Linked DNA regions of Anolis sagrei. The protein of the gene in region 3 interacts with the protein of the main gene of each other region in a pairwise test. Links are inferred from orthologs where the notes say so. Each region holds a gene or a part of one and is shown on either strand. Other genes may lie near its edges.

Evidence for each region.
Region 1: the proteins of TRIM59 (region 3) and ZDHHC22 interact in binary tests that used the Homo sapiens proteins (3 or more experiments, as listed by UniProt). The link is inferred for Anolis sagrei from reciprocal best matches to the Homo sapiens genes TRIM59 and ZDHHC22.
Region 2: the proteins of TRIM59 (region 3) and VTI1B interact in binary tests that used the Homo sapiens proteins (3 or more experiments, as listed by UniProt). The two-hybrid records come from large-scale screens. The link is inferred for Anolis sagrei from reciprocal best matches to the Homo sapiens genes TRIM59 and VTI1B.
Region 4: the proteins of TRIM59 (region 3) and NRM interact in binary tests that used the Homo sapiens proteins (3 or more experiments, as listed by UniProt). The two-hybrid records come from large-scale screens. The link is inferred for Anolis sagrei from reciprocal best matches to the Homo sapiens genes TRIM59 and NRM.

What each region holds. Positions count from the first base shown.
Region 1 is NC_090021.1:306,659,863-306,667,528, forward strand, and holds the start of ZDHHC22 (palmitoyltransferase ZDHHC22), read right to left. Parts: upstream 3,003-7,666; 5' UTR 2,568-3,002; intron 1,133-2,567; exon of another isoform or gene 689-1,132; intron 530-688; exon of another isoform or gene 483-529; intron 1-482. UniProt on the Homo sapiens protein: Palmitoyltransferase that could catalyze the addition of palmitate onto various protein substrates and be involved in a variety of cellular processes. Catalyzes the palmitoylation of KCNMA1, regulating localization of KCNMA1 to the plasma membrane.
Region 2 is NC_090021.1:281,960,355-281,967,667, forward strand, and holds the start of VTI1B (vesicle transport through interaction with t-SNAREs homolog 1B), read left to right. Parts: upstream 1-4,303; 5' UTR 4,304-4,359; coding exon 4,360-4,477; intron 4,478-7,313. UniProt on the Homo sapiens protein: V-SNARE that mediates vesicle transport pathways through interactions with t-SNAREs on the target membrane. These interactions are proposed to mediate aspects of the specificity of vesicle trafficking and to promote fusion of the lipid bilayers.
Region 3 is NC_090023.1:246,768,198-246,775,847, reverse strand, and holds the start of TRIM59 (tripartite motif-containing protein 59), read left to right. Parts: upstream 1-4,649; 5' UTR 4,650-4,702; coding exon 4,703-4,705; intron 4,706-7,650. UniProt on the Homo sapiens protein: E3 ubiquitin ligase involved in different processes such as development and immune response. Serves as a negative regulator for innate immune signaling pathways by suppressing RLR-induced activation of IRF3/7 and NF-kappa-B via interaction with adapter ECSIT.
Region 4 is NC_090022.1:24,012,235-24,019,848, reverse strand, and holds the start of NRM (nurim), read left to right. Parts: upstream 1-4,597; 5' UTR 4,598-4,653; coding exon 4,654-4,792; intron 4,793-7,614.

The DNA.
Region 1 (7,666 bases), on a different chromosome or scaffold from region 3:
GGCGAAACGTCAGGAGAGAATGCTTCTGAAACATGGCCATACAGCCCGGAAAACACACACACCGATACATCAATGCTGACAATATAAACCTCATTTTCCTAGGTTCCAACAGACCTCACAACCTCTGAGAATGCCTGTCATAGATGCAGGCGAAACGTCAGGAGAGAATGCTTCTGGAACATGGCCCGAAAAACCTACAACAACCCAGACATATACCTTTCGTTTCCCAGCTTAGTGGTCCTCACACCGGGAAACCAAACTCTTCGGGATAAGGAGACCTCATTCCTTTTCGCCCCCCAAGACCCTCAAATCGGAACCCCAGAGAAGTCGGCAGGTTCTCAGCCATCTCCGAAGCTTGTCTTTAGGGTCCTCTGCCTCCCTGCCAGTTGCATCGCCTCCCTTCTCCCCGTCTTTCCCTTGCTCCCAGCCTAAGAGACTGACTTTCCTGGGAGCAAGTCCCTCTTGCGCGTCTCAAGGCTTACTTCCGAGGAGGCTCTGCGTTTCCCAGAGTTGCTGGTGTCTGTTGTTGTTATTGATTATGTATCACCAGGGCGGGAGGGAGGGAGGGGGGGAGGAAGCGCAGGGTGGCTGTTCTAATCCGCTGCAATACGGAGAGAGAGAAATAAAACACCCTCCAATGCTCTAATTTCGCCCGGAAAGCCCTCCATCTGCAACCGGCTTGATTTACCTCGTCGGCGCTTGTCCTGAGAAGCAAGGGAAGGCGGAGAGCAGCGGGTGAAGGGCTTGTCCAGCTTCCAGCGGTGCAGCTGGGAGGACCTCCGCCTCCGTGGACGTGTGAGTGCGTGTCTCTGTGTCTCTCCGTGTGTGTGTGTGTGTGTGTGTGTGCTATCGCCTCGCAGTCACTCAACGCGAAACATTGCCTCCCACTCACACCCACCGCCGGGGCGCAGGCACCCAAACAGGGAGGTTCGCCTCCAAGTCTAACCTCTCCCCCCGCGCTCTCCTTTCCCTCTCTGCTCTGGAATGTCTCTCCCAAAAAACCAATCCGTGAAACCAGGCAACCAAAGGAAGCAGTCTGGGCTACGGCGGCAGGCTGGGCTTTGAGGGCATGCCTTCCTTTGCTCTCTCCGGACGAGAAGGCCAAACTTAGGAGCCGCAGCCCTTAAGGGGAGGAGGCCCGCTCCTGGCACACCTTGCTCCCGGGATCACAACCCTCGGGGGAACTTTTTCCCCAGTTCCTTTTTTCCACTTTCTTCCTGCTGCCAGGCTTCGGGACCTGAGATCCTTCTCCCGCTAGATTCCAACTCCCAATCCGCCCAACTGGTGGGACCAGCCCATAACCTTGAAGTCTCCTTGCTGAGGTTGTTCCGAGTTTTCCGGATGGTATGGCCATGTTCCAAAAGCATTTCTCTGAGAAAGGAAGGGAAGTCATGCCTTGGTAAGACCACACCTGGAATATTGTGTCCAATTCTGGGCACCACAATTCAAAAGAGATATTGACGAGCTGGAATGTTTCCAGAGGAGGGCGACTATAATTATCAAGGTTCTGGAGAACAAGCCCTATGAGTAGCGGCTTAAAGAGCTGAGCATGTTTAGCCTAAAGAAGAGAGGGCTGAGAGGAGATATGATAGCCATGTATAAATACGTGAGAGGAAGTCATAGGGAGGAGGGGGCAAGCTTGTTTTCTGCTATCCTCGAGACTAGGACGCAGAACAATGGCTTCAAACTACAAGAAAGGAGATTCCATCTGAACATTAGGAAGAACTTCCTAACTGTGAGAGCCGTTCAGCAGTGGAACTCTCTGCCCCAGAGTGTGGTGGTGGAGGCTTCTTCTTTGGAAGCTTTTAAACAGAGGCTGGATGGCCATCTGTTGGGGGTGCTTTGAATGCAATTTTCCTGTTTTTTGGCAGGGGGTTGGACTGGATGGCTCATGAGTTCTCTTCCAACTCTATGATTCTATGATTCTAGACGTCAAAACATCTGAGGATGTCTGCCATAGGTGTAGGCAAAACATTAGGAGAGATTGCTTCTGGAACTTGGCCATATAGCCCAGAAAACTCACATCAGGAACAGCTAATCACCTATCAATAAAGGATTTCCTCAGGCAGTAAGAAGCCAGACCCTGAAACTGCTAGGCTAAATGCTAATCGGTATTTCTAAAAAAAACTCTAAAATCGTAACAGTAAATAAAGAACAACACTCAAAAACAGGGGAATTCCAGACAAGAAACAATCTATCTGGGCAAGCTAATCAGTTCCCAACAAAGGATTCCCCCGAGCAGTAAGCAGCCAGACCTTGAAACCGCTAGGTCATTAAATGCTAATCAAGGTGGCCAATGGAAACATTCACACCTATCTCCAACAGACGAGAGTCCTTTCTCCCACCCTGGATATTTCACAGATATAAACCTCATTTTCCTACTTTCTAACAGACCTCAAAATCTCTGAGGATCTCTGCCATAGATGCAGGCGAAAGGTCAGGAGAGAATGCTTCTGGAACATGGTCATACAGCCCGGAAAACTCACAACAACCCAGTCATGAAAGCCTTCGACAATACATTCCCTTTGCTGGGTTTCTCGCTGCTGCGTCCCCGACACCGTCTTTACCTGGGCGCCTGGAGCAGAGGAAGGGCTGCGGTGTCTTTCAGCGTTGGCCAGCCTCAGGACAGTCTCTTCCTTTCTTTCTCTTTCTCCCTCCAGCAGTGTGAACCTTGGAGAAATCTTTGAAAGAGCCCCCAACACTCGCCATTCATCCCGAGCCCTTCTGTAGCGCCTGCGGATCCGCCTTCCTTTAAAGCGGGGAGCTGTCCGCCTCCTTAGTGCTGAAGCGGAGGAAGGAGGCGCTTGCTTGTGCTCCGCAGGGAGCTGTCCCTTCAGCACCAGCAGCACCAACCCAAGCTCTGCCCTCCCTGGAGGGATCAGAGAATCATGGAGTTGGAAGAAACCCCAGGGGCATTCAGGCCAACCCTCTGCCATGCAGGAGCACTACAAAGCACTCCCCATTGATGGCCATCCCCAGGGAGATCAGGATGGCCCCATCTCTGCTTGCCTGTTACAAGCAGCTTAAAACCTATCTTTGCTGCCAGATGTTTGGGAGGTAATATTGCTGGGAAGGTTGTGGGTGGGATTTTGGAAGGTTGGTGAGTTTTAAATGTAATTTTAATTGTATTAATAATAATTATTATTTATTTATTTGACTAGTCATATGACCATTTCAAAATACAACATGAATAAAATACAAGGCAAAAAGGTGAGGGCAATAGCTGATCTTCTATTTACAGTCAAGAGTCTTATTGTCCTGGTTCTTCTTTCAAGAAATGTGCTCTTTTCTTGATAGCTTTCAGAATAAAAAGGCTTACTCTGATTATGGTGGATCTTTCTTGTCCTTGCAAAATGAATGTTAGAAGATCATTTTTATTGGGGGACCTTCAGCTGGATAATATTGGATGTAAATATCTGTATCGCAGTTCAGCATATGCTGGACAGCCAATTAAGAAATGTTCGATATCTTCCACTGTTTGTTCTCCCCATACACAGAATCTCTTACTTCTTGGGATGTTACAGTAATCATAATACCAAGTTATTCAAACCTAGCCCTAGTATATATTCTTCTTAAGGGTAATGGAAGTGGGATAGTCAGATAGTGTTCTAAATGAATATTTCTTTTGTTTATATCCATCCCTATATTATTATTGTGTCATGTTATTATGATCCACCTTGAGTTCCTATGAGGAGAAAGCTGGGATAGAAATCATGATGATAATAATAAAAATTGTTGCAACCCACCCAGAAATCACCTTGACCTCATCATCAGCCAAAAATTCAAAAGTGACAGTAAGACAGTTTATTGAGGAGAAATACATATAAAAAGGGAAAGTCACCTTAAGAAATAAGAAAGGCAAAATCCAATAGGAAATGGAGAAAATAGTCAACAAGTAATAAGCCAAACCAAACTGGCAATAAGAAAAAGCACTCCAAAGGTAATAATCCAAACAGCCCAAATCTGTTCCATAAAACAAGCTACAGGAAAACCAGAATCAAAATATAAGCATAAATCCAGGAAACATGAATTAAAACATGAATATGAATCTAAAAACAACACAATAGAAACTTCTTAAAACGTGAATCCAAACTCCCAAGATCTTAGACCCTAAATATGAACTAGAAATGAGGCTCGAGATCCTCACTGTTTTTGCAGCATTGCCTGATCTGAATTCTAAAGGAAACAATTCTCTGATTTGAGGTCCACAATCCATTAAGTCATGCCTGTGATCTTGACTACCTTGCCTTCGAGATTTCTCCCAAAGAAGGCGCCTCCACCATACTTTGGGACAGAGAGTTCCATTGTTGAACAGCTCTCAGAATTAGGAAGTTCTTCCTCATGTTCAGGTGGAACCTGAAGCCTTGTACTACAACCCAGAAGCACACAGTTCAATTGATGCATAGTTCTAGTCCCAGTGACTCTTGAGAAACATCTTCTGAAGTGACAATAGTCAAGTAATTAATATGACCAAGTAGGTAGAACAGATTTGATTTAGGGATTTTAAATTTATTACACTCTCCCTTATACCATAGAAATGGACAGGTGTGGTTCTGCAGATGTTGAGTGGAACTGCAGCTCCCATAATCTCACACAATTGTCCTGATCTGATGTGTACTGTGAGTCAAGAGCATATGGAGGGCAATACTGAGGAAGATTACTGGTCCATCAAACCATGAACTGGCTACAGCTTTCCAAGGTCCCAATCAGAGGGCTTATTGCAATATTTGCTATGTGATCCTACTAGCTGGGGAGGCCAAGGATTGAACCTGCAATCTTCTACATGTATATATAGAAAATATTCTACTATCGATATAGCCCTCCCTCAATGGCCCTAGTGTGATCAGAGAGAGACACCTCATAAATTGTTGTTCTTCTCTGTAACTTTTTACTTTCATTGTGAAAGCCCTTGGAGTGAGGAGGAGGATTTTTAGAAGCCTAATTTAATCATTAAGTGGACTGCCTGCTCCAAAACTTACACCTGAATAGGATAATAATTGCCTTTATGGTTATAGAGATCTTCATACAACACTCCCGGACATGACTGACCAGGTTAGTATGTGACTCAACTATACTGAATTATCCAGCTGAAGAAAACATTGCATTACTGTATCGATGGAAATAAGAAATCAATAACCAAACAGAATCTGTTCATTTTACTTGGAAGGTCTGCCCTTGATCAGCTAATGAATTCTTCCTATACAAATCCACACACAAAAGACTTATGGCTTACCATACAGACTCTGAGAAATAGAAACTCATAAATATAGTGCTAGATCTTGCACAGACAATATTAGAGAATGAAGACGAAATATTAATTTTGCAATTGCTTAAAGCTAACCTCTTGCAGTGATTGTATGCACACACGTGTGTGTGAGACGAAGGAAAGTCAAGTGTGCCAACAAGCAATTACATCCTTACTGAGAAAGTGCCATTTCACAAGTGCTGTTGGATTGTAGCTCCCATCAACCCTAGCAGCCTAGCCAATGTTGAGGATTCCCGGATGATTCAGTCAAATCATATTTGGAGTGCTACACTTTGTTCACGCTTACCATTTCGTAATGGTAAATGACTTTTCACCTTAAGATTACAAGTCCTGAATTTCAAAATGGACATGTAAAATGCTGGCATTTAGTTTACCATTCCAGTGCCTCCCCTTTTCCTAGGGTTTCAAGACAGCTATAGAGGAAAGGGGTCCCATGGACTCCCAAAGCAGCCTGATCTAGTGCCAGAGTGTTTCTGTAGCTGGAATGTTTTCCTGCTGTTTAGCATTTGTTGTTGTTTACTGCCCTCAAGGTGACTTTGACCTATGACCTCCAAGTCACTGTAGCTTCAACAGCCCTGCTGTTTCAGGTTTATTGCCCCAGGTTCTTTAATTGAATCTATCTTTTTGTAATGCCGTCTTCTTATTGTCCTACTGCCTACTACTTTACCAAGCCTTCTTATCTTTTCTAGTGAGTCATGTCTTCTCATGATATTGTCAAAGTATGACAGTGTCAGTTTAACCGGCTTGGCTTCTGGAGAGAGTTCAGGCTTGATTGCTCCAGGATCCATTTATTTCTCTTTTTAGTGAGCCAGTATCCATAGAACTCTTTGCCAGTGCTGCATTTCAAATGAATTGATTCTCTTCCTATACGCTTTCCCCATTGTCCTGCTTTCACAACCAAACATAGACACTGGAAAATGCTGTTTGACAGACCTTCCTGCAAACAAGCCTCATTACTTCCACTTTTATCCTCATTAAACAAATCATCCCTTTTTGGCTTTAATTAACAGCCTCTTACAATTTGAATATCATTTTCCTTCCCTGTACCATTTTTACTAAAAACTTCCACTGACTTCAGAGCAAAATGCTCTCAAATCGCTGCTTTTATCTTCTTTTATTTTTGTTATTGATTGGTAGCCTGTGCAACCATGCAATCAAGATTCTTTCTATGCTCAGATATATACTTTCTAAATCCTTCACAGGGCTTTTTTTATTGTATACTAGCTTGGGTACCCAGCATTTCCCAGATGATTAGAAGAAGTGGTTTTATTTTATTTTATTTTATTTACTGTATTTATATACTGCTTTTCTCATCCCAGGGGGAACTCAATGAGGTTTACAAGAAATAATGGCAAAATTAAATGCCTCACATACATATAAAACCAAATCATAAATCTAAACAAAACATATAACTATGCATTAAAATCAATAAGATAATTAAACATAAGACAAAACAACATTCAGACATGAAAACATAGAAATTAAAACCACCTAATATAAACATTAAAATCACATGATCCAAACTCATAGACCAGGGCAATTCCAAATCTCGATTGCACATATATCATATTTATTTCTTGTACTGCATTACTTTACTAATCAAAGGCTTGGTCCCATAACCATCTCTTTGATTTCTTTCTGAAGAACAGGAGGGAGAGCACTGATCTAATCTCATTGGGGAGAGAGTTCCAGAGCCAAGGAGCCACCACTGAGAAGGCCTTGAGTCTTGTCCCCACCAACCACCTTTGCAAAGCAGGTAGAACCTAAAGCAGTGCCTCCCCAGAAGATCTTAACCTCCAAGATGGTTCATAGAAGGAGATACATTCAGACATTTTACAATCGTGGGTGTACTATAACTCACATCATGCCAGGTCAATCTCCTGAAACTCCAGCAATACTAAAAGTTCATCATGTTGGGTAAGTTTACAATTCACAACATGCCAGGTTAACCTCCTGAAACTCCATTAATACTTAAAGTTTGTCATATTGGGCAAGTTTTCACATCATCGGTGGGGTTCAGTGTGCTTTCTGGCTGGAGGATGAATTACGACTCTCACCATGGTGGGTCAGTCCCATCAAATCCCTCCAGTATGTTCAGTTGGTGATGGGGATTCTGTGTGCCAAGTTAGGTCCAAGACCATAGTCGTTGAGGTGCAGAGTGTTCTTTGATTACAGGTGAACTATAAATCCCAGTACCTACAACTAACAAATGTCAAGGCCAATTCCTCCCAAAACCCACCAGAATTCAAATTTTAGCATATTGGGTATGTGTGGCAGATTTGGTGCAGATCCATCATTGTTTGAACTATAATTCCTATAAATCAAGACGAATTTCCCCCATAGCCCTCATGTATGTTTTGTTGATCATGGGAGTTCTATGTGCCAAGTGAGATCCACAGC
Region 2 (7,313 bases), on a different chromosome or scaffold from region 3:
AAGACACTTCTGTGCCAGTATCCCATAAACTCATAAGTTTTTCCTCATTTACTTGAACTTCCTCCAAGTAATCTCTACTCACACCCTTATCCATACTCCAAACTCTCATAATTTTAATCGGTTCTTCTTGAGGAGCAGGATTTTCTGTCAGTGGCTGGACCTTTTTAATCACTTTGATGTACTTAGGTGGGGCCACAGGTCTAGCATTTGTCACCTTTGGGCATGAGGCTTTAACGTGCCCTTCCTGATGACAGTGGTAACATAGGATTTTACGTGGTGCAGTTCCTGAGCTGGTGTTCCCCTTTCTAGGATTCTGACCATCCCTGTCAGCTCTTCCTTTTGGGACCCACTCCTTTGGCTTTCTAAACAATGGGGAACCTACATCAAGGTCTTCCTCCATTTCGTCTAGAACAGATGCCACTTCTGCTACCGTTTGAATCCTCTTGTCCTTTATAAACCACCTCATCTGGGCTGGAACTAGTTTGTAAAACTGTTCTAAGCAAACCAAATGCCTCAGTTGGTCAAATGTGGAGACTTTACTGCCTTCAAGCCACCTTTGTAAAGCTTTTTCTATTCTAGAGCCCACCTGTGAATAGGTTTTTCACCATTCTTTCTTTTAATTTCTCTGAAAGTCTTTCTAATTTGCTCCACACTTTCACCCTTTCCTTAAATATAGCATAGTTTGTACACTCAGTGTCCCTTAACTGTGCACATCTTTCACTAAGCTCAGTGTATATCAAAGGCCTTATATGTGCCATCTTTCTTTCCTCAAGCACCTTAAAATCAGCGCAAGTCCTTTCAAAACTTGCGAGGAAACTTTCCACACAGTCCCCTCTTGAGTACTTTGGGAAATGCTTTATTTGAGAGGCTAATGGCTCAGATTGGGTTTCACTTGGACTGGATGTGGGTTGTCTTTCTTGTAATTTCAACTCCATCATCCCTTCTTCATGCTTCATTCTCTCCCTTTCTTTCTCAATCTCCAGTTGTCTTTCTTTCTCTCTAGCCTCCTGTTTCATTCTCTCAGCCTCAAGTTGTTTTTCTCTCTCTCTCTCATTGGCTTCTATCATTCTCTCTTTCTCTCTAATCTTATGTTTCATTTTCTCAGCCTCAAATTCCATCCTCCTAAGTTCAATTTCCATTCTCATCTTTTCCAATTCTAGGGAGGTAGTCACCATTTCTGGACTCTCTACCCTTTCTTCAGTCACAGTCTCTAACATCTCAGCCTCCTGCCTCTCCTCTCCTACTGGAGTTGCTGAGGTCTTTTTATTTGTAGGTGGAGCCATCACTACAGGGTTTCAAAATGGGGTTTCTGGGCAGTTTCTGAGGTACCTCCAGATCACTTTGGGACAAACGTTTACCTCAGGTTTTTGATCTAACATACTGGATCAAGCCTTAAAGTTACTATCCCACCGCTGAACACTCAAAAATTTTAAATCACGCCACTGGTCGTCAGTTTAAAGGATCATAGTTACCAATTCCACAACTAGACACAACTATGATGGAATATGATTCTGGCACAGAGCATTTATATATATGTGAAGTAACATGTATGTACTTTGGTAGATTTGCTGCCACCACCCAAAATACTTTGGGAAATTAAAGAATGATTCCCTGAGGTAATCCTCTTCCTTGCCCACCAGCTCTCCCTTAAGCTCCTTGAGATGACTGTGAAGTAAAGATGGTAAAACAGCTAGTATTATTCCCACTGGAATGAATCACTATTGAGGCTTCTTTAAAGTTGAACTAGAGAATATGCTTATTGATAATACAGAACAAACAACTATCTTCTTTAATGAGGCACACAAGCTTGAATGGTTTCTAAAGTACAGTAATCTTGATGGTTACTATAAACAGTTTCTTGTCTTAGATATGAGTAAAACTCCTCACTCTACAACACAGCAGCAGTGCGTTCCCCAGACAAACCTAACCAGGTTGTCCCCAGAGCAATTAGCTACACTCTAAGCAGAGTCCTCTAAAAGCTAATCTACTCTAACCCAGAGAGCAAACCACTTGTGTAAAAACCAACACAAGCACCCAGGCAACTACTTTGACCCTCTTGGTCAATAATGCAGCCTTGCCTGTCACAAAATGCTCTCTCACAGAAAAATCTAAGCTCACCAAAAATCTACCTTTCTTCTCCTCTGTTCCCAAAACCAATCTCTCTTCTCTCTCTCAAGCTGACACTTTCCCCTCTCTGTGCTTAACTCCTCCCATCTGTCCTAATCAATCCAGAGGGAGCTCCAGCTCCTCCCCTTCTTCTCATTTTACACTCCCAAGATGTCTGCCTCCTCTGCCTAAACTCCCAAAATGGAGGCCTGCCTACTGACATCTCAGGCTCCTACTTTGGCCTACGAAGTAAGAATCATTACATGAAGCTTGCTGGAGAATACAACTGTGTGTGTAAACTGTAAAATAACATGCATGAAGCTGATTGGTTGGGCAATGCATAGGGTGATGGCTGAGCCTGGAACTTTTGGATACTGTTGCACATTTGTTCAGGCTCGAGCTATGCAGCTGCAGAGAGACAGACAGATTTGCTCTTTGGCTGCTGAAAGAAGGTCTCTCATATGGACAAAGAAATACCATTTTAAATTTCTCTAAAAGGACAGTATGTGAGTTGGTGCAACGGATCATATTGTACATATGTTGTTCTGAACTAAGAAGAGTTCAGGTAACACAACAGAGATGGGAGGGGGAAAGTTGGTAAGGATAATTGATGATGGAATTTAAAGGTTTCCTCAGCAGCAATGAACAACCCAAAGTTCGGTCTGTAGAAATAAAGCTATGTTATAATCTCCTTGTTTCTGGTCTCAATTGGGAAACAAGGGCAGGAATATATTTAAAGGAAGATCTGCTTTAATATTTCAGATATTTTTGTTGGATGCCTTTAAGTCACTTCCAGTTTATGGCAGCCCTGTCTCAGGGATTTCTTGCCAAGTTTTTTTTTGGAGGGTTTGCCATTGCCTTCCTAAGAAACTGTGCAGGTTCTAAGCTCTGCCAGGGAGGCCGTCCTCTCGGTCCTGCCCCCATCTCAAATATGGCTGATGGGGATGAGGAAGAGGGCCTTCTCAGTGGTTGCCCCCTGGCTTTGGAACACCTTCCCCAAGGAAATCAGGCAAGCCACCACAATTCAGTCTTTTTGGAGGGACCTGAAGACATAGCTCTTCAAGGTGGCCTTTGATGATGGTTAAGGTATCATCTATATTGGCTGAGCTAAATGAAGTTCTACCCTAACACATTACCCCTGATATTTTTAACCTGTCTTGTGGCTGGGACGTTAAACTCGGTTTGTATAATGTTTTCTCGAAGGTTTTCATGGCTGGAATCAATGGGTTGCTGTGAGTTTTCCAGGATGTATGGCCATGTTCCAGAAGCATTCTCTCCTGACATTTCGCCCACATCTATGGCAGGCATCCTTAGAAGTCGAGGGGTCAGTTGGAAACTGGTAAGTGGGGTTTATATAACTGTGGAGTGTTCAGCGTGGGGGAAAGAACTCTTGTTTGCTTGAGGTATGTGTGACAAGAATCAATCAGGGCCAGCTAACAGCTCCCGACAAAGGATTCCCCCAGGCAGCAACCAGCCAGGCCTTGAAACTGCAGGCCATTAAATGCTAATCAAGGTGGCAAATTGCAACATTCACAGGTACCTCTAGCAGACAAGAGTTCTTTCATTTATTTATTTATATTTATTTACAGTATTTATATTCCGCCCTTCTCACCCCGCAGGGGACTCAGGGTGGATTACAATGTACATATACATGCCATAGACACACAACACATATATACAGAGGCTATTTAACATTCCAGCTTTTGATGAGGGTATTCTGGCCACCAGGGGAGCTGTTGCTTCACCGTCCATTTGTGACACTGATGAAGTACTTCCTTATTCTTTGCATTCTTGCTGGAGATTTTTATGGTATCATAAATTAGTTAAATTAGCCTCCCCGCGTACGCAGTACCTAAATTTCCTACTTGACAGATGCAACTGTCTTTCGAGCTGCAAAGGTTGACAGCAAGCTACACAAATTGGTCGGATGCTCACTCCGACCTGGGCTGGCTTCCAACTCATGACCTTTTGGTCAGTAGTGATCTTAATGCAGCTGACTCCCAGCCAGCTGCGCCACAGTCCCGGTGCAATTCTGGCTGTTAGGAATTGTGGGAGTTGAAGTCCAAAACACCTGGAGGGTCGAGGTTTGCTTATGCCTGTTTCCTGGCGTAATGAGGCCCTCCAGGGCGAAGGGGGCGCTGTTCCGCTGCGCTCGTGGGTGTTTCTGGGCGGTGTGCCGGGCCCCTCTTCCGGTGCAGGGGCCGGAAGTGCCTGTCGGGAAGCGGCAGGGGCCTGTTTCGGGAGGCCGGCGCTATGGAGGGTCGCGGCAGCGGCTCTTCGGAGCACCTGGAGCGGCTGCACGAAATCTTCCGCGGCCTCCACGAGGAGTTGCGAGCTGGGCCGGAGAGGCTGCGCGGGAGCCAGGCGGTCGGTACGTGAAGAAGGAAGGGCCCTCGGGCCGGAGCCTTGGAGGCGGGGAAGAAGGAGGGGACAGATGAGGCCTGGGCACACTTCGGGGGTTTTGAACTCCCAACTCCCACAATTCCTAACAGCCGGAATTTTACTGAAGTAGCCTGAAAAGGGCCGTCACCCACGAGGTCATACCAGACGTGGGCAAACTTCGGCCCTCCAGGTGTTTTGGACTTCAGCTCCCACAAGTCCTTAACAGGCTGTGAGGAGTTGTGGGAGTTGAGGTCCAAAACACCTGGAGGCCCGAAGTTTGCCCATGCCTGCGCTATAATAATGCAGTGAGGATGGTCACACTACACTTCTAAAGGGTTAGTATCCCACTTTAAACCCACTGGCTGCCTCCTCTGAAATCCTGGGATTGGCACTTTAGGGAGGGGCCTTTACAGGCCTGTAGCCAGGATTTCGATTCGGGTGGGGGGGCTGAGTTTGTTTTGGGGGGGGGGCTGAGTCAGTGAAAGAGGGTCTACGCTAGCAAACCTTTTGTATCGTTACTCCAATACCCCCATGCATATGGGATATATTGAGCACGGTGATCAGATCATGATATGAATAAACATAACAGTTTAAATAATGCACCAGTAAGGCCTTTTCGCGAACCACCATGAGAATTTCAGGGGAGGGGGCTAAAGCCCCCCAAGCCCCCCCCCCCCCCCTGGCTACTTACCTGCGCCTTTACAACCCTCTGCCAGAGAGATCCTTATCCTTATTACATTGCAAACCCCAGAACTATGCAAGAGGCAGCCATAGGATTTAAAGAGATGCCCACGCTTTAAAGTAGGGATGGGCAGACGTTGACCAGCTGTTTTGGACTCCAACACTCACAAGTCCTAACAGGCAGTTAGGACTATGGGAGTTGAAGTCCAAAACACCTGTAGGTCCCAAGTTTGCCCATGCCTGCTTTAAAAATGTAGTGTGATAATCTCCAATTGTATACGATTGTAGCACAAGTATTCTATTCTAATTACTATGGCAACATCTCGTGGAATTCTGGGTTTTGTAGTGTGAGGCCCCAGAGCTCTCTGGCTGCATTCTAAACAGCACTTCCTAAACAGCAGATGGAAACAGGTCAGTTAAACTGGAATAATAGTACTATTTTTTTTTGTCATGTCAGGAGCAACTGCTCCTGTTGTGAGAGAATTGGCCGTCTGCAAGGACGTTGCCCAGGGGACGCCTAGATGATTATTGATGTTTTATCATCCTTGTGGGAGGCTTCTCTCATGTCCTCGCATGAGGAGCTGGAGCTAGTAGAGGGAGCTCATCTGTCTCTCCCTGGATTCGAACCTGCAACCTGTCAGTCTTCAGTCCTGCCAGCACAGTGCTTTAACCCACTGCGCCACCAGGGTCTCCATAATAGTACTATAATACTGTAGAACAGTGGTTCCCAACCTTTGGTTCTCCAGGTGTTTTGGATTTCCAATTCCCAGAAATCCTAGCCATTTTACAAGCTGTTAGGAATTGCAGGAGCTGAAGTCCCCAAAACACCTGGAGTACCAAAGGTTGGGAACCACTGCTTTAGAACTACTGTATTTCATTGAAATCGAATGCCCACCTGGTTTGGCTAAATTACCTTCCCAAAATTCGGGTGTGCATTAGATTCATGTAATATGATTTTTTGTGCTGAATCAAAGCTAAAGGCGAAGCTATTTCAGGAGCACCTGGAGCTCCTATTTGAGGGACATCATCTCTAATTTAATTCCCATGGCTCAATGCTATGCAATGTTGGGATTTATAGTTTGGTGAGGAATTAGCATTCTTTGACATTCCAGTCACTCTATAGCATTGAGCTAGGGCAGTTAAAGTGCTTCATTCTACAGCATAGAGGCACCCCAAGGTTCCATTGCTTAAAGCTTTGGTGTTCTAACACTTTTGTTTTTAAAGAAGGAATTATAAGTGCACAGCAGACCTTCTTTGGCCAAATTACAAAGAGTGCACTTTTGTCACTTCGCATTACATTCGCCAGCAAATACTTTTTTTTTTTTTTTTTGGTTTCAGGGTTTTGAAAATTGAGGTCCGCATTAGATTCGATGGCGCATTAGACTTGAGTACATATGAGTATAACAGTGTGGTGTAAGAAGGCCCTACGCTGTTACAGCACTGTTAGTTGCAATCCTGTGGGCCTTTGCAGTTTATTGAGGTACCAGACCTCTCTGACTAGGAATCCTAAAGTCCCCTCCTTCACTGGTAATCCCAGGATTCCATAGGATGTTGCCATGGCAGGTACAGTGGAACAATGCCACTCAAGTGGGAGCGTGATAAGGCCCTTCACTGGTACAGCATTGTTATAAGACAGAGCTTCCCAACCATGTCATGCTGGGCACACACCTTTTAGATATGTATCATTTCACAAGGCGGTAAGTCAGTTTTACTAGCAAACTAGAGGTTAAACCAGCCCCTTCAAAGAAATGTGGACAGATTTATTAATTGGAATGATGAAATGTAGAAAGACACAAAATATTTCAGGAAAACCTTTCATTTATATATTTAAAAATATATGATTTGTAAGATAACACACAGTTCTAAGATTTGTGTCATTTCGTTTTACATTCACACAACACACCTACACACTGCAACCAACACTTTGATGTGAGGCAACACAAAGTTTGAAAAGCTCTGTTATAAGGACTTAAAGAACATTTGACAGTCAAAAGTGATTGTCATAAAGCAGTGGTTCTCAACCTTTCTAATGCCGTGACCCCTAAATACAGTTCCTCGTGTTATGGTGACCCCCAACCATAAAATTATTTTTGTTGCTACGTTATAACTGTAATTTTGCTACTGTTATGAATTGTAATGTAAAA
Region 3 (7,650 bases):
GGCTTTCTCTCCCACCAAATTTCACTTCGGAAGCCTTCCAAGAGGGAAGCGTTTCCCTCCCACCCAATTTCGCTCCCAGGGAGAGCTGTACCCACCAGATTTTGCTCTTAGAAACCTCCTAGATGGGGAAGGCTTTTCCCGCCAAATTTCGCTCAGCAGGAGGACTTTTCTCTGCTGCCAAATTTCACTCTCAGAAATCTGCCAAGCAAGGAACGCTTTTCTTGCCAAATTTGGCTCGAGAGGAAGGCTTTCCCCACCAAAATTTGCTCTCAGAAGCCTACCAAGTAGGGAAGGCTTTTTTCCAGCGCCCTCAGAAGCTTGCCAAGCGGGGAAGGCTTTTCCCTCACACCAAATTTTGCCCTCAGAAGCTTGCCAAGAGGGGAGAACATTTCCTGCCAAATTTCACCCACGGGGAGGGCTTTTCCCGCCAAATTTTGCTCTCAGAAGCCTGCCAAATGGGAAACGGTTTTCCCTCTTGCCAAACATTGCCCTATGAAGCCTGCGAAGTGGGTTTTTTCCCACCAAATATCACCCTCAGAAACAGGGAAGGCTTTTCCCTGCCACCAAATTTCAGTCTCACAAACCTGCCAAGTGGGGAAGGCTTTCCCCACCAAATTTCTTCCTTGTTTACATGATAACTTTACTATTCAGGGATTTTTTTATTAGTATTATTATCCCGATCTTAAAGGCACTTCAGCATGGATCTGCACTGCAGAAAAAGATCACTGGGGTTTCCTAAACTTAGTCAAGGGCCTAAATAAACAATAGGCCCATTGAATCCATTAGATCAGGCATGGGCAAGCTTGGGCCCTCCAGGTGTTTTGGACTGCAGCTCCCACAATTCCTAACAGCCGGTAGGCTGTTAGGAATTGTGGGAGTTGCAGTCCAAAACACCTAGAGGGCCCAAGCTTGCCCATGCCTGATCTAAATAACACAAAAGTCACCCTCACCTCATGAAATGCCAGTTAAAGTTTTGGAATTGTCACAGCTGGCAGATCAAATAGGCTTTAGGGCAAATGAAGGTATTTCCAAAATGCCATGAATTATTTAGATTGAGAACGCACTTTATTTTGAAAGTGTTATAAGAGATATTTGAAGGGGTCACTTTTTTCTCTTTTTGTAGAAATAGAGGGTCTAAGTCAAGTCAGTGAAGTCTGATTTGAAGTTGTCCAGGTTAGGTCAGGAAAATCTATTTTAGAGTGACAAGGCCTCCATCTATATTGACCAAGTAATGCGGTTATTGAAGACAGATTTTCCGATGCAGATGATTACATAGTAAATCCTGGAACCAATTTAAGGCCGGCATGGTGATTACACAAACCACAAAGCACTGGTGGGCATTATGGGTGTTCTTTGTCTCTCTATTGTGGAAGTTTGTTATCTGGCCACCACAGTTTGAAGATAGCTTCCATCTGTATCAAATGACCACTGTAGATGGCCCAAGTTAGGTCAATTTTTTTAAGGACCAAGCGTTGTTCTTTGGCTTGCTGTGAGTTTTTTTGGGCTGTATGGTCATGTTCCAGAAGCATTCTCTCCTGATGTTTTGTCCACATCTATGGCAGGCATCCTCAGAGGTTGTGAGGTTTGTTGGAAGCTAGGCAAGTGGGGTTTATATATCTGTGGAATAAGGTCCAGGGTGAGAGAAAGAACTCTTGTCTGCTTGAGGCAAGTGTGAATATTGCCATTAGCCAGCTTTATTAGCATTGAATAGCCTTGCAGCTTCAAAGCCTGGCTGCTTACTGCCTGTGGAATTTTTAGTTGGGAGGTGTTAGCTGGCCCTGATTATTTCCTGTCTGGAATTCGCCTGTTTTCTGAGTGTTGTTCTTTATTTATTATCCCGATTTCAGGGGTTTTTTAAAATACTGGTAGCCAGTTTTTGTTCATTTTCATGATTTCTTCCTTTCTGTTGAAATTGTCCACATGCTTGTGAATTTCAGTGGCTTCTCTGTGTAGTCTGACATGGTGGTTGTTAGAGTGGTCCAGCATTTTTGTGTTCTCAAATAATATACTGTGTCCAGGTTGGTTCATCAGGTGCTCTGCTATGGCTGACTTCTCTGGTTGAATTACTTTTCAGTGCCTTTCATGTTCCTTGATTTGTGTTTGGGCAATGCTGCGTTTGGTGGTTCCTATGTAGATTTGTCCACAGCTGCATAGTATACGGTAGACTCCTGCAGAGGCGAGAGGCGCCCTCTTGTCCTTTGCTGAATGTAGCATTCATTGGATTTTCTTAGTGCGTTTGAAGATTGTTTATAGGTTGTGTTTCTTCATCGTCTTCATTATGTGGTCAGTGGTTCCCTTGGTGTATGGCAAGAACACTTTTCCTCTGGGTGGATCTTTGTCTTCACTCTCATAGAATTATAGAGTTGGAAGAGACATTGTGGACCATCCAGTCCAACCCCCTGCCAAGAAGCAGGAAATTCATATTCAAAGCATGCCCGACAGATGGTCATCCAGCCTCTGTTTAAAAGCCTCCAAAGAAGGAGCCCCTCCAGCCCCTTCTGGCTGATCATGGTAAACATGTTTCAAAGAAATGCATCTGTCACTACACAAAGTGTGCTTAATACAAGTAGTGTTACTTTTCACTTTTGAACACAACTATTTAACAAGTCCCACTAAGATCATTAACATTGTTGCCATCTGTGAACTCATTTATTTGCACAACATTTCTATGTAAAGTGTAAACACATGCAGAGGAATCGAGATGATTTATTGTCTTATGTCCTGAATTTCTGGGAAATCTGTTACAATATTCATTTTTACTGGGCTCAAGTGTTAGATTTTACTTATATCCTAATTTTCCCAGCCACACTTGGAATTAAGGTGATGGACAACAAAATTAATTGAAAAAGTATAAACACAATGACAAAAAAATGGATTAATGAGACACAATAAAATTATATTAATTACTAATAAATAAAAGTGATGTAATAATTTATTAGCTACTTGAATGAATAGTTTTACCTTCATCATTTTCTGCATAAGGAAGTCTGAAGGTTGATCAATTTGGGTCCATTGGCATCCAGATTTATCTGCTTTTACCTGGATTATATGGCAGTGTAGAAGGGGCCTTATTCTTATGGTCTAGTAGCTGCTACTGCAGAATCTTCCTGATTGATCAGATTGGAAGGTGTTGGGTAAAATACACACAAGTTGCAATTTCCCATGCATGAGTGACCTTATCTCAGAAAGCACAGGATGTTTGTGATGAGATCAGAATTGTGTGCTCCAGACATAACAGGACTATAAATTTATAAAGGCCAGAGCAGAGCTGAACCTTATGCAGTTGGTGATAGTGGGCTCAAACAGAAATAAATGTCTAAGATGATAGTAAAAATATATATTAAATCAATAGGTCCAAAGGCTATAGTTGTTTGTGATTTCACAATCATGTCTAAGATGGATATTATATAAAAATGCTGCTAAAATTCATATTAATGTATATTTATTATCTTTTTTATTTAATTGTGTATTTATTGGTGTTTTCATATTGTTGGAAGCCACCCTGAGTCCCTCTTCGGAGGTCGAGAATAGGACAGGATTCAAGTGTTCTAAATAAATAAATAAATATTAATAAAGGCATCAAAATTGGAATGATGTGTATTATTTTTCCCACAGAAGTGAACTTGGTTACATACCATTTGATCCATCATTGATTTGGTTTCATATTTTAATCCTGTTAACATTAATGAAAATACATTTGATTAATACCCAAATAGATTGATTGCAATGGATTATAAAACAAGATGTATGTTAGTCAATTGAAAAAGTGGGAAACATTATTTTGCAGTTCTAAAATGACATTTTTATGCTGGAGAAAATAGCATGGGTTGGGCCAAGTGTGATATAATGTGTAGAAAGTTGGAGACATGTTTATATCTCTATTTCACCTCATTGTTCTCAAGTTAATAAGTCATTCCTATTAAGGATTGTTGTGATGATAACATGGAATATGGCTTGACCATGTGGTATGCAGACAAGACTGACAAAAAAAAACAAGGCATGGAAGAAAGGAAACCTTGAAAAAATCATGTAACTATGCTGAAGAATACTCCTTTCACTGTAAATAAATAACCAAACTTCAGCAACTTTTCTCATGGGCTAACAGCAAAGAAAAACTGTTGAGACAGAAATAAAAGAATTTTTAAAAGGGGGGGGGGATATTTTGAGAATATTCATACAGCTGCATGAAGGAAGTTTTTAACTTTCCAGACACAATTCCAGACATATCCCAGATGTTTACATGACAGGCTGTAAAACCTAAATTTAATTTTATCAGGATAAGCAGATGTTTATGTATTCTGGAAAGATAAGTATATCATTATTTATGACACATTGACAAATTTATATCATTGTTTGTTTTTTCAATGTTACTTTAGGAGACATCTCTTAGTATGTTTCAGTTTTGCATTCATCCTCAATCAGTAAATTATAAATACTGATGTCCATAGAGAAAATATACATGAGGCCATTCACTGATAAAGACTCGAGGATTGTCTGTGAAACAGATGGTGGTCACATTGTCCATCAATAAATGACCCACAATGTAATTACTGGCCTTGTTGAGATGCTTTTTCCTTAAGCATCCAGGAGAGGGGGTGCTCTGTGTTGTGCTTGGAACAGTCGAAGGCATGTTCTGTTCAGACTTGTTTGCTTAGGATTCATCAGAAAATTGCTACAGCCACTTAAAGAGAAAGGAGTGAAAATGGTGAGTATATGATACTGACCTAGTTTGCGCAGTCAGTTTCCCACTTGTTAAACTAATTCAGCAGCCAGGAATGAATCGGGAATCTTGCACCTCTATTTCATAGTGTCCTAGTTTGATTTAACAACATTTAAGGATTTGCTGTTGCAAACAACAGCAAGTGTTAAATTGGGAACTGTGGATTAATGTTTTAAATCCAAACCAATTTCAAATTGTGGTTAGTAAAGTGTGGTTAATCAGTTTTCAATAAGCTGCACTTCTCCATTTTGGTCATAATGGTTCACTGTGGTTTGATGTTTATTTGGATACATACTGCAAGTCGCTTCTGGTATGAGAGAATCAGCCGTCTACAAAGATGTTGCCCAAGGGACACCTGGATGTGTAATCCTGCGAGGAGGCTTCTGTCATGTCCCCCAGTGGCTTTTTTAATTTTTCGTGTCAGGAGTAACTTGAGAAACTGCAAGTTGCTTCCAGTGTGAGAGAATTGGCTGTATGCAAGGATGTTGCAGACGCCCAGATGTTTTCTTTTACCACCCTTGTGCTAGGTTTCTCTCATGTCCCTGCATAAGGAGCTGTAGCTGATAAAGGGAGCTCAACCCACTTTCCCCAGATTCTAACTGCTGACCTATTGGTCAGCAGTCCTGTTGCCATCGAGAGTTCCCCAGTGGCTGATAGAAGAGGAGATACCCCCTGGGCACACAGAAGAATTGGCAATCTGGAAGGTGCTAAACAGGCCGCTCTCTGGCACCACGAGATGCAGAGCCAACCTTAAGAAATGGGGTTACAAAGTGGAGTCCATGAGATGTGAGCGTGGAGAAGAGCAAACCACAGGCCACCTACTACAACGACCACCCTGTCACTTGTACAATGGAGGACCTTCTCACAGCAACACTAGAGGCACTTCATCCCTCTTCTCCTTTAGAAGGAAATTAAAAATGTGGTTGTGGGGTCAGGCCTTTGGGTAAGCTTGCAGACCTGATGACAACAATGACGACAACAGCTATGGAAACGGTTTATGGACAAGTTTTCAATTACAGGACTTGACGGAACAATGGCCACCAGACCGACTTTCTTTTTAGTAGACTTTATCATATTAATCTAATGTTTTTAACTATTTATAATTATTGTTTTTATGTGTGTTCTGTTGTGTTGCTTGTCGGCATCAAATATGTGCTGGCTAGAAGCCGCCCTGAGCCCCCCCCCCCCCCCCCCGGGGTAGAGAAGGGTGGGGTTTATTTATTTGTTTATTCACAGCTTTTATATTCCACCCTTCTCACCCCGCAGGGGACTCAGGGTGGATTACAGTGTACACATATATGGCAAACATTCAATGCCAATTTTTGACATACAAACATATACAGACATACACAGAGGCTATTTAACTTTTTCTGGCCGCCCGGGGTGCTGTCGCTTTCATCGTCCATCTGCGACGCTGATGAAGCACTTCCGCATTCCCCGCATGCTTCCCCCGCTGGAATGCTTTGCTGGAGTCTTCTTTATGGCCTCATAAATCAGTTAATTTAGCCACCCCACACTTTAAGGTGTTTCCTAATTTTCCTACTTGACAGATGCAGCTGTCTTTCAGATTGCAAAGGTCGACAACAGGCTACACACAATTGGTTGGAAACCCCTCCAACCCGGGCTGGCTTCGAACTCATGACCTTTTGGTCAGAGTGATCTTAATGTAGCTAACACTCAGCCAGCTGCGCCACACCCTAAATAAATAAATAAATACACAATCAAAGCATTCCCAACAGATGGCCATTCATTCAGCCTCTGTAAAAAGCTCAAATTCACACTTCCACTAGTTCTTCTACTGGTTGTATTTATTTATTTATTTCGTGTACTTATACCGCGCCCTTCTCAACCCCCGAGGGGGGACTCAGGGCGACTTACAAAAAGGCACAATTCGATGCCTACACAGTAATACAGATAAAATATAGACAGCAATTAAAACAGTTATAACAGTTAAAACAATCAATATATATCACAGTCAATAAAAACCAATCTTATGCTCAGCGTTTGCAACTCAAGAGTCCATAATTTCATTCCACATTTTCCATTCCTATCGGTCGTCATTGTCCTTTATTTATCTGCCAGATTGCCCAAACGCCTGGTCCCAAATCCATGTCTTTAATTTCCTTCTAAAGGAAAGGAGGGATGACGATGATCTAATTTCCCCAGGGAGTGAATTCCACAGGTGAGGGGCCACCACCGAGAAGGCCCTGCTCCTCGTCCCCGCCAATCTCACTTGTGATAGAGGCGGGGTCGAGAGCAGGGCCTCCCCGGAAGATCTTAAACTCCGAGGTGGGACGTAGATGGAGATACGTTCGGACAGATACGCTGGGCCGGAACCGTATAGAGTTTTGTAGCTTCAGGAAAGATCCTCTTCACAATGAGTCAATCTGGTTCTTGGTAAGGTAGGTAATTAGTTGTGTAAATATGAATGGATAAAATCCCAGCTTCAAAACATTTTTCATGAATTGTGTGGCCTTTGAAATAACAGCAGGATCCATCTCTATTTTGTATTTCCAAACAAACAAAAAGGATCAGCACTGAGCTCTTCTATTGTCTTATGTCATACTAAGCTGTGATGTTGTGTCCATTGTGACATCAGTCATTGCCACAGTTTCTCTCACACACTTCCCCTGGTTGTAGCTTCAGGAAAGGTCCTCTTCACAATGAGTCAGTCTGGTTCTTGGTAAGGGCCAAAATAGGTAAGCATTAGCTTTGCTGTGTGAATATGTATCTTTAGGAAATGCAAATGAAGTTGGATTATATAGTGTTAGGAATTTTGGGAGTCGAAGTCCAAGGGTCTGGAGAACAAGCCCTATGAGGAGCGGCTTAAGGAGCTGGGCATGTTTAGCCTGAAGAAGAGAAGGCTGAGAGGAGATATGATAGCCATGTATAAATATGTGAGAGGAAGCCACAGGGAGGAGGGAGCAAGC
Region 4 (7,614 bases), on a different chromosome or scaffold from region 3:
ACTGGAAAATTATTTTAGTAATGAGACGCTTAGGACTTGTGTTTTTATGGTTTCTAATGTTTTTATATGGCTTATATTAAATGTTTATGTTTTTAATTATATGTTATATTGTTGGGGGCATTGATTGCTGACTAAACCATCTTGAGTCACCTTTGGGCTGACAAAGGCGGGCTATAAATATGGTAAATAAATAAATAATACATCTCCATTTCTAAGCTGAAGAGCCGACGTTGTCCGTAGGTATCTTCAAGGTCATGTGGCTGGCATGACTGCATGGAGTGCCATTACCATCCTGGAAAAGCGGTACCTATTGATCTACTCACATTTGCATGTTTTCAAACTGATAGGCTTGCAGAAGCTGGACCTAACAGCAGGAGCTCACCCCACTCCCTGGATTTCAACCACCGACCTTTCCGTCAGCAAGTTCAGCAGCTCAGAGGTTTAACCCGCTACGCCACCAGGGGCTCCATACACACACACATACAAATACATACACACATGCGTATTAAATATACTTTAAATGCTGGGACTTGCTGTCTAATGACGCCATTTAGATTGGCCAAAACATAAATAAACTCTAATGTAAAAAGCAGGATATGGACACTTTGAAAATGTGCGTTTTATTTGAAATTCTAAATATTTAATTATTTAGAGACAGAATTGTTTTGTAACAATTGCAAATGGTTCATATCTACCTAAAGGCCCTTCCAGACAGACCCTATATGCTAGGTTTTCTTCTTTAAACTGGATTATATGAGTCCGCACTGCCAGATAATCTGGGATAAACAGAAAACCTGGAATCAGATCCTGGGATATAGGGCCTGTCTGGAAGGACCCTAAGAGTATCAAAGAGGCAAATAAATTGACTTCCATTTGATGTCAGTTTATTATATACACAAAATTTGAAACCACGTCATTTGAACTTGTCTGGAACAAAATTTGAATAATAGGCATAGAAATAAATGTTTGCACCTGCTCAGGTTAAACTGACATTTAGATCTTGAAATTAAGTTGGATTTAAATTGTTGTTTTATTTTGAATGTTGTTCTCCTTTCCCCCCCTAACTGCATTCAATTTGTTTATTCCTAAAACTTGAAACTTGAAGAAAAAAAGAGTACACCTGTATTAAGCAAGATATTAATTCTAGGCTATATGGTGAGTGCATTCTTAATTTTCAGACATGATGAATCACATACCTCACTAATCCTCAAGGCTTGCCCTTTTGCTTCTTCAATTGATCATAATGACACTCTTTTGCAACATAAACCAAATGCGCCTGCTTCATTCTGTAAACTTATGTGATGATATCTGATCCATAATTGGTTGCAAAACAATGCCAAAAGAGTCATCATCAAAGTGTTCAAATTTGGTCATACTGAATTTCCGTGCCAAGTTTGGTCCGGATCCATCATTGTGTGAATCCACAGATCTCTCTGGATGTAGGTGAACTACAACTCCCAAACTCAAGGTTAATGCCCACCAAACCCTTCCAGTATTTTCTGTTGGTCAAGAGAATTCTGTGTGCCAAGTTTGGTTCAATACCATCGTTGGTGGAGCTCAAAATGTTCTTTCATTGTAGGTGAACTATAAATCCCAGCAACTACAGCTCCCAAATGACAAAATCAATCCCCCGCAACCCCACCAAATTTGGGTGTATCGGGTACTTGTACCAAATTAGGTCCAGTGAATGAAAATACATCCTGCATATCGAATATTTGCATTATGAGTCATAACTGTAGCAAAATTACAGTTATGAAGTAGCAACGAAAATAATGTTATGGTTGGGGAGGGGGGTCACCACAACATGAGGAACTGTACTAAGGGGTCGCGGCATTAGGAAGGCTGAGAAACACTGGTTTAGAGGGCATGCTTATCAAGTTTGCAGATGACACCAAATTAGGAGGAATATAGACTCATAGAGTTGGAAAAGATCTCGTGGGACATCCAGTTCAACCCCCTGCCAAGAAGCAGGAAAATCGCGTTCAAAGCACCCCCGACAGATAGCCATCCAGCCTCTGCTTAAAAGCCTCCAAAGACAAAGCCTTCACCACACTCCGGGGCAGAGAGTTCCACTGCTGAACAGCTCTCACAGTCAGGAAGTTCTTCCTAATGTTCATAGAATCATAGAATCAAAGAGTTGGAAGAGACCTCATGGGCCATCCAGTCCAACCCCCTGCCAAGAAGCAGGAATACAGTTATGAAGTAGGAATCTCCTTTCTTCTTTCAGATGGAATCTCCTTTCTTGTAGTTTGAAGCCATTTTTCTGCATTCTATATGACAGTGTAGAAGTGTTATGGCTGATAGGATAGATAATACCAAGAGCGACCCTTTGTGTGAGGCAGAAAAGTACAGGTTTTTTTTCCAGCTGAGACCCTGGTGTGGAATCTTCTCCAAAAGCAGCCAGAGCGAGGATAAAGGCGTTGACTTTCCCTTTTATACATCTTCAAATGCTCGCAAACAAAGGAACATGCTTCCACATATGTTAATTTCACCACTGTGTCACTTTTGCATCATAGAAATATCAAATTATATCTTCCTGCATGCAAGCGGCAAGTCTCTATATTTTTTCTAAAGCAGTTTACAGCAATAGAGATAACTAGGATTGAGCTTATTCATCAAGAGGCCTACTTTTGATCTGTCAGGAGGGAGGGAGATTCCTTACTTTTTACCTCTATCTGTTCATACCAGGTCATTCTTATCTCCCCCCAGCTGGAATGTTTACTCCTCTCTTGCCTGTGCCTTGGACACAGATCCTTCAGCATCCCTTTCGTCCTGTCAGCTTGGCTTCCTAATACAGAGAGAACCTGGGTTTTCTACATTTCAGTGCTTGTAATGTACATACAATCTATATAAATAAAAATGTAATGTTCATTTGTGGGATTAACATAACTCAAAAACCACTGGATGAATTGACACCAAATTTGGCCACAAGACACCTGTCAGACCAACGAGTGAGCATCACTCATAAAAACATTGAAAAACACAGCAGAAGTTACTTAAAAAGGCAAAAAGAAACAAAAAATACATTACAACGCGTGCACAAAACCACACACACATATATATACACAAACACACATATACACAAATATGTACATTTGTGGGATTAACATAACTCAAAAACCACTGGATGAATTGACACCAAATTTGGACACAAGACACCTGTCAAGCCAACGAGTGACCATCAGAAGAAACTTAAAAAGAAAAAGAAAAAACAAAACACATCACAATGTATGCACAAAACCACATCTATATAAATAAAAATATAATGTTCGTTTGTGGGATTAACATAACTCAAAAACTACTGGATGAATTGACACCAAATTTGGACACAATACACCTATCAGGCCAACAAGTGACCATCGCTCATAGAAATACTGGAAAACACAGTTGAAGGGACTTAAAAAGCCAAAATTTAAAAATGCATTTCAACACATGCACAAAACCACATATACACAAATATCTATACGCACATATATATATACACACACACCACATATATACAGACTGGGCCACAGCAACACATGGCAGGGGATGGCTAGTACACACAATATCTATACACACAAACACACATATACACAAATATGTTCATTTGTGGAATTAACGTAACTCAAAAACCACTGGATGAATTGACACCAAATTTGGACACAAGACACCTGTCAGGCCAACAAGTGACCATCACTCATAAAAACACAACAGAAGAGACTTAAAAAGCCCAAACACAAAAAAATACATTACAACGCATGCACAAAACCATAATACACACAAACACATATATACACACATATATACACACACAAAACACATATACACAGACTGGGCCACACAACGTGTGGCAGGGGATGGCTAGAATATGTATAAATATCTATATATCCAATATCTCCAACTCAGAAGGGTTCTGGGTATATAGGCTAGTAAAATAATATAATATGATAATATAATAAACTTTATTTCTACCCCGCCACCATCTCCCCGATGGGGACTCGGAGGGGCTTTGATGGGGCCAAGCTGGGACAACATAATACAGCAATAAAATCAAAACATATACAGCAAACAACAACAACATTATCAAAATAACATTAAAAGAGAAAAAAAATCATAAGATAAAACATTCCAATAAACACAATCACAGTAAGGATGTCAATGGGCGGGCCACATATTCAGGATAAAAACAGTTAACAAACTACAGGGTTAGTCAAAATGCATAGGCCAATAAGCCATTCAATTGAATGGCTTATTGGCCTATGCATTTTGACTAACCCTGTATAATGAGATAAAATAGGAGCAGAGCATTTATATGGAACTCATAAAACACACAGAGTTGTAAGGCTAAACAACAAACTCCCTGGAGAATGCCTTGATATGACGTCAGAGAGATGTGCACTAAATGGCTCCTGACGTCAGAGTGGACTGAGTGGGGATTCCTAAAGGAGGGGCCCGCTGCCTTCACCCCGCGTGACGTCACTCCCACTGGAGGCAGGCAGGCGGGGAAAGCCCCCTCTGGAGGCTTCAACCAGGAAGGAATGCCCTCTCGCGGGGGTGGATCTGTGTGACGTCAGGGGAGAGAGGGTGGGGATCCCGGGGAAGCCCCTCCCCCGGCGGGGCGGGGCCTGCAGGCGGCGGGAGAAACGCCTCACCCCTCCCCACTCCCCTACCATGGCCGCGCTTTCCCTCCTGCTGATGGTCCCGGCCTTGGGCGGCTTCCTCTTCGCCTTCGGGACCGGCGTGGAGCTGATCCGCTTCGTTTCCCTTCGGGGGCTTCTCCTGCCTGAAGCCACTTCTCCAGCTAGAACCGGTGCGAGTCCGTGGGAGTGGGAAAAAGGGAGGGGGAGGGAGGGGGCATTAGGAATTGTGGGAGTTGAAGTCCAAAACACCTGGAGGGCCCAAGTTGGCCCATACCTCCTTAGAAGTGGATTCAGAGCCACTTGCAGCCTAGAATCATAGAATCCTAGAGTTGGAAGAGACCTCATGGGCCATCCAGTCCAACCCCCTGGCAAGAAGCAGGAATATTGCATTCAAAGCACCCCCGACAGATGGCCATCCAGCCTCTGTTTAAAAGCGTCCAACGACAAAGCCTCCACCACACTCCGGGGCAGAGAGTTCCACTGCTGAACAGCTCTCACAGCCAGGAAGTTCTTCCTAATGTTCAGATGGAATCTCCTTTCCTGTAGTTTGAAGCCATTCAAATCACCCCTGACAGATGGCCATCCAGCCTCTGATTAAAAGCCTCCAAAGAAGGAGCCTCCACCACACTCCAGGGCAGAGAGTTCCACTGCTGAACGACTCTCACAGTTAGGAAGTTCTTCCTCATGTTCAGATGGAATCTCCTTTCTTGTAGTTTGAAGCTATTGTTCCGCGTCCTAGTCTCCAGGGAAGCAGAAAACAAGCTTGCTCCCCCCTCCCTATGACTTCCCTTCACATATTTATACACAGCCCTCATGTCTCCTCTCAGCGTTCTCTTCTGCAGGCTAAACATGCCCAGCTCTTTAAGCCACTCCTCATAGGGTTTGTTTTCCAGACTCTTGATCATTTTAGTCGCCCTCTTTCTGTGGAGACATTCCAGCTTGTCAATATCTCTCTTCAGTTGTGGTGCCCAGAATTGGACACAATTTATTATTATTATTATTATTATTATTATTATTATTATTATTCCAGGTGTGGTCTGACCAAGGCAGAATAGAGGGGGGGGGGGGCATGACTTCCCTGGATTAAGACACTAGACTCCTATTGATGCAGGTTATATTATTTTACAACCATAACCTCCCCATCACAATTGCATGCAAAGGATGGATCACATCCAAATTGTAATTTTCCTGTTGTGCAACACTGTGTACATGTTGCCCACAATGTTTCGTATTGGTTTCGCTTCTCTGTTGATTCTCATTCAAACAGAAATAATTATTAAGACTCATAAGCATCAACACTGTCAAATTAAATGCAGTTTGGTGCCACTTTAACTGCCCTGGCTAGGAGCCCCAGTGGCGCAGTGGGTTAAACCCCTGTGCTGGCAGGACTGAAGACCAACAGGTCGCAGGTTCGAATCCGGGGAGAGGCGGATGAGCTCCCTCTATCAGCTCCAGCTCCTCATGCGGGGACATGAGAGAAGCCTCCCACAAGGATGATAAAAACATCAAATCATCCGGGCATCTCCTGGGTAACATCCTTGCAGACAGACAATTCTCTCATACCAGAAGCGACTTGCAGTTTCTCAAGTCGCTCCTGTCACAATTAAAAAAAAACCTGCCCTGGCTGAACGCTCAATAGGATTTCTAGTTTGGTGAGAGACGGACCAGCTCTCTTTAGCTTTGAAGGCTCAAGGCCTTGTCAAACTACAGCTCCCATTGTTCCATAGGATGGAAGCATGGCAGTTAAAATATCGCTACCCTAAACCAAAGGGATCTTGTCCTTTCCTTAGGCGATCCCTCATAGCTCGAGGATGATGGTCTTCCAGATGTGGTGTCTTGGCGGTGGGTCTGTAGGTGTCTGTGAAGCCCTATTCTTAACCTGCATGTTCTCCTGCAATGAGGATATCGGTTTCCAGATGGAAGGAGGTCCCGGTCTGGGTTGGCTTGACACACCTTCCTCTTGGCACGTTTCTCCCTTTCGCCCTCCATTCATGCCTCTTCAGATTCTGCAGCACTGCTGGTCACAGCTGACCTCCACCTAGAGCGCACAAGGTCCAGAACTTCCCAGTTCTCAATGTGTATGCCACAGTTTTTGAGGATGGCTTTAAGCCCATCTTTAAATCTCTTTTCCTGTCCACCAACATTACGATTCCTGTTCTTGAGTTGGGAGTATAGTAACTGCTTTGGGAGATGGTAATCAGGCATTCAAACAACGTGGCTGGTCCAGTGGATTTGATGGCGGAGAAGCATTGCTTCAATGTTGGTGGTCTTTGCTTCTTCCAGCATGCTGATATTTGTCCGCTTGTCTTCCCAAGAGATTTGTAGGATTTTACGAAGGCAGCGCTGATGGAATCATGCCAGGAGTTGGGTGTGACATCTGTAGACAGTCCACGTCTCGCAGACGTATAGCGGGGTTGGGAGGACTATAGCTCCCTACGGATGTCCCGGTTCTCAAACACTCCCTGCTTCCTTCGGAAGAATGCTGCACTTGCATAGGTAGCATAGTACCTTTGAGACTAAATGAAAGAAGCAGCTTTATAGCCACCAGATCTCTTTGCATGCTGATCATGATCTAGGAACATCTTAATAGCTTTGGACCCTGTGCAACTGAAATACTGGCATAAGTTGTGAGTGTTGTTGAAAGTTTCTCTGCTACAGCTGACAAAGGGAGCTCTCCCTGGATTCGAACCTCCGACCAGTCAATCTTCAGTGCTGCTGGGACAAGGGTTTAACCCATTGTGCCATCGGGACCTCCCCCATGCCTGCTATCAAGCAACTTCTTTGGATGCAGTGCAAAATGTTAATAAATGAGTAAATTAACTGTATTAGGATGTGTCTGCATTATAGAATTAATGTAGTTTGATACCATTTTAACTGCCATGGCTCAATGCTATGGAGTCATGGGAGTTGTAGTTTGGTAAGTTACCACCACTCTTTGACAGAGAGGGCTAAAGACCTGTAAAACTTCCATAATTCCATAGCATTGAGCCAT